2 linked regions of the Rattus norvegicus genome follow. The protein of the gene in region 1 purifies or fractionates together with the protein of each later gene. This does not show direct contact. Links are inferred from orthologs where the notes say so. Each region holds a gene or a part of one and is shown on either strand. Other genes may lie near its edges. The genes, in order: Arpc2 and Actr3b.

Evidence for each region.
Region 2: the proteins of Arpc2 (region 1) and Actr3b purify together in Homo sapiens (affinity purification with mass spectrometry; 6 studies listed by BioGRID and IntAct, counting the BioPlex papers as one, with this or other methods). This does not show direct contact. The link is inferred for Rattus norvegicus from reciprocal best matches to the Homo sapiens genes ARPC2 and ACTR3B.

The regions. Positions count from the first base shown.
Region 1 is NC_086027.1:83,279,815-83,283,632, reverse strand, and holds part of Arpc2 (actin-related protein 2/3 complex subunit 2), read right to left. Parts: intron 2,331-3,818; coding exon 2,218-2,330; intron 1-2,217. UniProt on the Homo sapiens protein: Actin-binding component of the Arp2/3 complex, a multiprotein complex that mediates actin polymerization upon stimulation by nucleation-promoting factor (NPF).
Region 2 is NC_086022.1:10,037,075-10,040,892, forward strand, and holds part of Actr3b (actin-related protein 3B), read right to left. Parts: intron 2,992-3,818; coding exon 2,867-2,991; intron 1,463-2,866; coding exon 1,352-1,462; intron 1-1,351. UniProt on the Homo sapiens protein: Plays a role in the organization of the actin cytoskeleton.

The sequences.
Region 1 (3,818 bases):
CCTTTGGCAGCATGTGGAGTTTTGATCTTCAGGTGTTCTACACACCACTTCTCCTAAAAGTCTGGGGTATAACAGGAACATTGGCATGCCCCCTCTGAATATAATCCTACACAATTGATACTGAAGAAAGGGAGTATCAAACACAGGGAAGCCAAAGCTCCTCCAGTCTTACCAAGTGAATATTGTGAAATTTATAAAGTATTTAGAGCCACATTTGTAATTCTTTTTATTCCTTTGTTCTTTAAAATATCTTTTATTAAATATCTGTTTATGGTACATATACGTTGATCCCATTAAAGATGGTTGTGAGCCACCATGTGGTTGCTGGGAATTGAACTCAGAACCTCTGGAAGATCAGACAGGGAGTGCTCTTAACTGCTGAGCCATCTGTCCAGCCCTAAATACTTAATTTTTTATTTATGATTATTATCATGTGTGTGGCTGCTGGTGCCAAGTGTGGAGGTCAGAAGACAACTTCTAGAAGTCAAGTTTTCTCCTTCCATCATGATTCTGGAGGCTGAAGTCAGGCCACCAGCTTTGCATGTCGAGTGCTTTCACCCACTGAGCCATTGAGGCCTTCTCTGTTTCTGCATCATAACCATTGTACACTTCTCTGCTATTTTCCCAAGACCAGTCTCACTGTATAACCCACAGTGGCCTGGAGCTCATGATCCCCCTGCAAACCCTGCCCGCCCGCCCCTCCCCCCCCCCACTGGGCTCACGCTGTCTCCACAGCAGCACACTGTTCACTCACACTTCCAACCTTGACTCACCTTTACATCTGTGCCTCTTTTTAATAGTTGGGAGAAGAGGAAGTCAGCCTACCTACTTATAACTATTAAACCTGCCTACGGAGCAGCAGAGCGTTCTGCTTTTAAAAAGGGCCTGTGAAACAGTAACAAGCTTCCTGTGGTTATCACAGGCTGGTCACTGTTTAACCAACCTAGGGAGTCACTTACTCCACTCCCACACTGGGAATGTCGCTCCTTCCCCCACTTGGGCTCTTTGGCCTATGTGGGAGCTATGAAAACTGCAATGTGTTCCAGAGTTCCACTAGCAGACCAAGCACAGGATGGAATGAGTCTTTACAAATCCAAACCAGGTTGGGTCGCAAGCTGCAACAGACCAGCTTGCCTTCTGATAAAACTACCTCAAATTCCCTCCAGTTACTTCTCTCCCTTCAGCAAATCAAAAGCACCTGAACAAAAAAGGGCTCAGCTCCCTACAGATCTTAGAACTCTAAGTCTGATTTTAGAGCAAGACTTTACAAGCTCTAGATCACATTCCTTAGTACACAGCCTTTCAGAAATCTGAAGTTGTTCAAAAGCTACCACTCTCAGAGAGAGAAATGGCTGCTTCTTCATGGAGCAGATTAAGAGAGCCTAGTTCGTTAAAACTGATTCAGGAACTGAGTCATACTTCCTGCTTTGAGACCCAACCACAATGTGCACACACTGGTGTAAAGCATTTTCTTTCTTCCATAAATGGCTCACCCCAGAGCAACTGCAGTTCAACAGGAACCACACCTCCTCCTTTGGCTATCCAAAGCCAAGGCACAAGGCACCAGGCCGCACTTCCCTATGGTATAGTTATAAGGATAGGTGGAAAGGTCAGTTCGAAAGAAAAGTCACTTAAAAAGGTTGACAAAACAGTTATTTATGCTTCACTTTCAGAATGAAAACCAAGACTATGAAGTTTAATGCAGCACAAATTCCAAGCCACCTTGATAAGATTCTAAATATGGGACAGAACCTGTCTCACTGTTGCCATAACTATTTTTGTACAGTTAAGGAAATATTGTTATTTCTGGAGGACTAGCTGTTTTGTTTTCATTCTTTTGTAAAATCTGTCTAACCTAAATGATTTGAGAAGAATAAATTCCGAGCTGGGTGTGGTGGTACATGCCTATAATTCTAGCACTTGGAAGATGACGGCAATCAGGAATTGGAGGCTTTCCATCAAGCCTGCGCTACCTGAGACCTTTATAAAAAAGCTTCTAAACTTTGCTCAGGAAATACTGCTCCAAGATAAAACCAAGCAAGCAAAGAGCCAAAATCTTCTCTGGAAAACACTGTTATGGGGAATGGAATTTGGAACCCCCAGCTAGCTGTATAAAGTGGCCTGTTTGTAAGGTGATGTAGCCCCCCTTGAAGGGCAGGGGGCCAACAAATGGTAAAGTAAACACAAGAGTTCCAAGGAAACCAATGTGGGACTTACCTCATCAGCTCCGTGTGCCTGAAGTTCCTTGTAGAATTTCAAAGAAATACTGACCATCACTTTTGTTTTGTCTCCATTAGGATTTGAAATATGATAAAGGACGCCATCAAAATCTGTGAAAAAAAGCAAGAAAGATTGCTCACTCTGGAAACAGGAGTAATCTCCCAGCACCTACCACAGGGCTGGCCATGAGGAGGCCTCTGATAAGAAAGATGCAAGTAAAATGATGTTTATTTTTAGTTCATGGGAAGCCAACTGAAAAACTGCTATGGAATTGCTCCATGGCCTCCTCTTTGGTCTCCCTTAAAATTACAAAGCTATTTTTAGTGTAACCATAGTTTATACTAAAGTAACAGTAAAAAAACTTCACTGTGACATGTTTCTAAGAGAAAGAAAGCTATAAACAACTCTACTTATGTAGCATTAATGCTGATCAGCACATGGGGCTTTGATCAAAATGTACTCACCCCACCTTAATTTATTACAAAGCAAATTCTAGACATCTAATCCATACATACATCAAGATGTATCTTTGGGAGACATAATATTACAAGAACATAACCATAATCAGTCATGCTCAAATTCAAACAAAAGATTCTACTTTAATATTAAATACCTGGTAAGCTATTCAACTATTACCAACTGTCTCAAAACAACAAAAAAACCTCCACAAACACTGTTGTCTTAAATATATGAGTTAAGGAAGAGATGGCTCAGTAGTTAAGAGCACTGGCTCCTCTTCCTGAGGTCCTGAGTTCTATTCCCAGCAACCACATGGTGGCTCACAACCATCTGTAATGGGATACGATGCCCTCTTCTGGTGTGTCTGAAGACAGCTACAGTGTATTTATATGTAATAAATAAATAAATCTTTATAAAAATATTTGAATTAAAATCTAACAAGATCGGGCTGGAGAGATGGCTCAGTGGTTAAGAGCACTGACTGCTCTTCCAGAGGTCCTGAGTTCAATTCCTAGCAACCACATGGTGGCTCACAACCATCTGTAATAGGATTCAATGCCCTCTTCTGGTGTGTCTGAGGACAGTGTACTCACATACATAAAATAATAAATAAATAAGTATTTTAAAATCTAACAAGATCAAGACAAGACAAATGATTATCTTTGAAGTCGCTTAATCTCTGGGCATCTCTTGAGGCTCCTTCTTCCTGCACTACGAAGTAACCTGGGCACTGCAGCACTACTGAAGCTAGGTGCTGAGGGCCAGAATGCAGAGAACTTGCATGGGAACCACGGCAATCATGCGGACTGGGCACTGATGGCAATGAGGATGCACAGATGGCATCCACCTTAGGAGCTACAAATCTTCTCAGATCGCCTGGTCAAGCACTTGCCTTTCTGGACACTTAGCTGTAAAATCTGAGCTCACATTTGACTAGCCAATTCTTTTTTTTTTTCTTTTGTTTTATGAAACACAGTTTCACCATGTGGCTCTAGCTAGCCTAGAACTCTCCAGGTAAACCAACCTGACCTCAAACTTACAGAGACCCACCTACTCTACCTCCTGGGTCCTGGTACAAATGACTTGTATCCCCATACATGGCCAACAGGGAGTGGAAAGAAACACTGTTTCCCTGATCT
Region 2 (3,818 bases), on another chromosome or scaffold:
AAGAAGCAGCTGGGCACGGTGCCTAAAATCCTATCCAAGGGGTAGTCAGTGATAAGCTAGAGCGCCAAGCCCAGCAGGCGGAGTCTGAGACAAAGTAACTCACACACTCTCAATTTCCTGGCTTCCTTTATTCAGTGTAACCACTGTGTGAGTGCAGGAGAGGAAATACAGAGGCCTGTGACACACAAGCTACACCTGACAGTCTGAGTGTGAAAACACACCTAAGAGACAGGTCAGAGCACACTCAAAGACTTGCCTTGATAGACATTAAACATGTAGATTCCATAACTATTGGCCTTGTAGTTACCACCTTCTAAACCAGACAACTCTAAAGAGTGTGTGTAGGAAATAATTATAACTGAATTTGAAACCATTTAACAATATACTTGCATAGAGAAATCCAAAGCTTATTCATGTGAGTTTAATATGCAGCTTATGTTGTATAGAGTTGCTGTTTATGAAGTAAGCATTTTATACCTTGGACTACTTTTTTTTTCTTTTTTTTTTTTCTTTTTTTTTTCTTTTTTTTTTTCTTTTTTTTTTTTCGGAGCTGGGGACCGAACCCAGGGCCACTGAGCTAAATCCCCAACCCCTACCTTGGACTACTTTTAATGTAAAAAGGCTACTCCACAGAAGGAAACATTGTTGAATAGAACAATCAGATCTCATAGATGCCGAGAGGTGCTTCTCCTTATTTCTCTATGCTGATTTGTTTCACAGGACACTTAAGTGTCATAAGCAGAGTCCATGGCTCAGATCAGCTCCCTCTTACAGTAGGATCTAAACACTGCAAAGTGACATCCTCTGCTATGACAGAATAACACTCACTTACTTCTCCAGGACACAGAGGACACAAGAGCTTCCCACCCAAGCCTCCCTCTCTGGACCCTGTGCTGGAGGTTACAGTAGCCACCCCTCCTCTCAGTCTAAGAGACCCACTGACAACTCAAGAACTGGGCAAAACCACCAGGAAGGTTCCTCAGAATGGCTGCTAAGCTTCAGGAAGTTTCCTTCACTACTGAGCAGACATACACGAAGACTCTGAAGTAGCAACACAGAGAATTGGACAGCTGTCCTGAGGCACCAGAGAGCCACAAGAAGATGCCATACTAAAAGACCAGTCTGTCTCCAAGCTGTTGAACTGAGCGGCCCAAGGCAGCCAGGCTCCGGCCTTCCTGAGCTACAGGGTGCTAAGCCTTTTAGGTCCTTGATATTTTTCTTGCACTTTCTGGTATTTGGCCCTAAAAGCAGCCTGATTCATGCCAAAGTCTTTAGGAGGACTTTATGTTTAAAAAAATCCAAGTACTTTGGAATTCGCAGGAATATATTTCTCTTGGTTCCAACTACTCACCATTAAAAAATAATGGTCCTCAGGTTCGGCACGGAGATACTTAAAGACCACCTGTTCCATGAACCTTTCCATAAGATCCCAGTCTTCAACGATGCCATGTCGTATAGGCCACTGGAGCAAAAAGGACAGAAGCAACAAATTCACCACGCAAGCACAGAGGAGGCCGTGTGGGCCAACAGAACGGAGGCATCCTGTGGGAAGCTCCCGGTGATTCGAATATAAACAGCATGGTTTATAAGGAACTACTTCTCCAGTGCGTTTACGGCAGCTCCTCTTAGTACGTGGAACTACCTGGGCAGCCATGGGCAGACTCATCTACATCCAACGCCCTCTGGTCCTTTTGTGATTACAGAAGAAACACTGGTTTTGCTGGTGAAGAGGTGGAGAAACAGGAACTACTGAGCACTGCTGGTGAACTGTAAACCGACAGAACTATTATAGAAGTCAGTGTGGAGGTTCCTGAAGAGAACTAAACACAGAACTACAGTATAGCCCAGGGAGCCCACGTACGGCATGTAACAACTGAAGGACTCCAAGGCATGAACCTGGAAGACATAGGCATGTCCATGGCAACCGTTGTGTATTCACAGTAGCCAAGAAATGGAACCCAGCCAGATGTCAGTCAACAGGTGGGTGGATTCCTTTTAAGTGTAGTACCGGTACACAATGGCCATTTTAAAAAGTGAAATCATGACAATTGCAAGAAAGTGGATGCAAAGGGAGACTGTTGGGGCAAATAAAATAAGCCAGACTCAGAAAAGCAGGGACTGCATGTTTCATATATGGAACCTAGATTTAACTCTCTCTCTCTCTCTCTCTCTCTCTCTCTCTCTCTCTCTCGTGTGTGTGTGTGTGTGTGTGTGTATGAATGTACGTGTATGTCTGTGTGTTACTGTAATGAGTGAAAGCAAAAGGGTACCATGAGTGGAGAGGAAGTGCTCTTAAGGGAGGCAGGAGAAAAGGAGAATGGTGAAGTTCATGGCTCATGAGGGCAGAGAAGAGGAGTGTTTGGAGGGAACTGCAAAGGTGGACAGGTAGACAAGGGAGTTCATGAGGTCATCAGAGGAAGTAGGGAAGAGTAAGAACAAAGTACAGTGACTTGTGTCTATGAAAATGCCAGGATGCAATCCATGGCTTGGTATGCTAAATTTAAAAAGTAATGTAAATCATGTCTTCAAAATGCCTGCTTTAATATTAGTGCTTCTTCTTAGTCACTCAGTCTGCAAGTTTCCAAATCTGACATGAGTTAGTCAACCTGCACCTTCCCAGAAGGGCAGAGCTTGCTCACCCTGCTGACACCGGTGTGACTCGGTACTCCACTCAGAAATGCACCTCTTCAAAAGCAACGCCCCCGTTCAACTAACCACCTCCTCCTGAGCGTAAGAAAGGGACAGCCCACAACGCACAGGTACAATCTCCAGGCACAGCCAGGCTCTGCGAGGCTTGGCTCTGCGCGGCTTGGCTCTGCTCGGTTTGGCTCTGCTCTTACCCAAGCGCACTGCGGCACAACTTTACCTTGGTAGCGTAGGTAGGTTTATCAATGGCTTCATCCCCTATGAAGAAGTCAAGGTCATCAACTCCTCTCAACACCCTCCTCTGGGCTTGGTCAACTACCTTTGCCGACTCTCGGATGGCAATACCTGAAGGGAGAGAGATGTTTTTCTTTCACAAAGACGCCAGCAGTCTCCATGCGCTACCTGAAGTTTCAGGAAATGGACGTGATCTGTATGTCCAAACAAGTGAATGGTGACTGCTTAGGTTGTATCTGGGGTTGGGATGCTCACAGGAGACGTGGCGAGCACATGACGTAACAGAGAAACAAATAGCTCTCTTCTAGTATCATCTCAGTGGGATGCGAGGGAACTGCTTTTAATGTCGGCACAGAAGCAATGTTATTAATCAGCCTCATCTGGAGGACCCCATAAGCAAGCAGGGGATGTTATGGGCCTTATACCCACCTCGGGTTGGGGTGGTTGTAAAATAGGGTGGAGGGCAAAGTTCTATACAACATAGAAGACGAAGGGAAAAATAATGTGCATGTGTTAAGTCATTTTAATGAAATGACATCTTAGTTCTTAGATATAGAGCTTATTTATAAAGAGGGGGAAACTGTGCATTCCAATTAAAACGAAGCTATTGGGTTATAGGCCGGCATCTGTTGCAAAAAGAGAAATATAATTATTCAAACAACAATATCACAGATCTTAGCAGTACATATTAGTGATAATAATCATATAAACTTCACTCCAGAATTTAATGAACTATGAAACAAAGATTCTGTTGCATTGACACCCCTAACCCCTGATCATACTCTTCCCCATCCTCAGGTCTCTGCGGGAATCATCCCCTCCTGGAAACGTTCCCTGACTACCTAGCAGGTGAGGGCACGTTCTCAATGTCACTGGCCCTTCCTACTCCCACCAATACATTCTACAAAAAGAACGCCAACCAGTCTACCACGGGGACT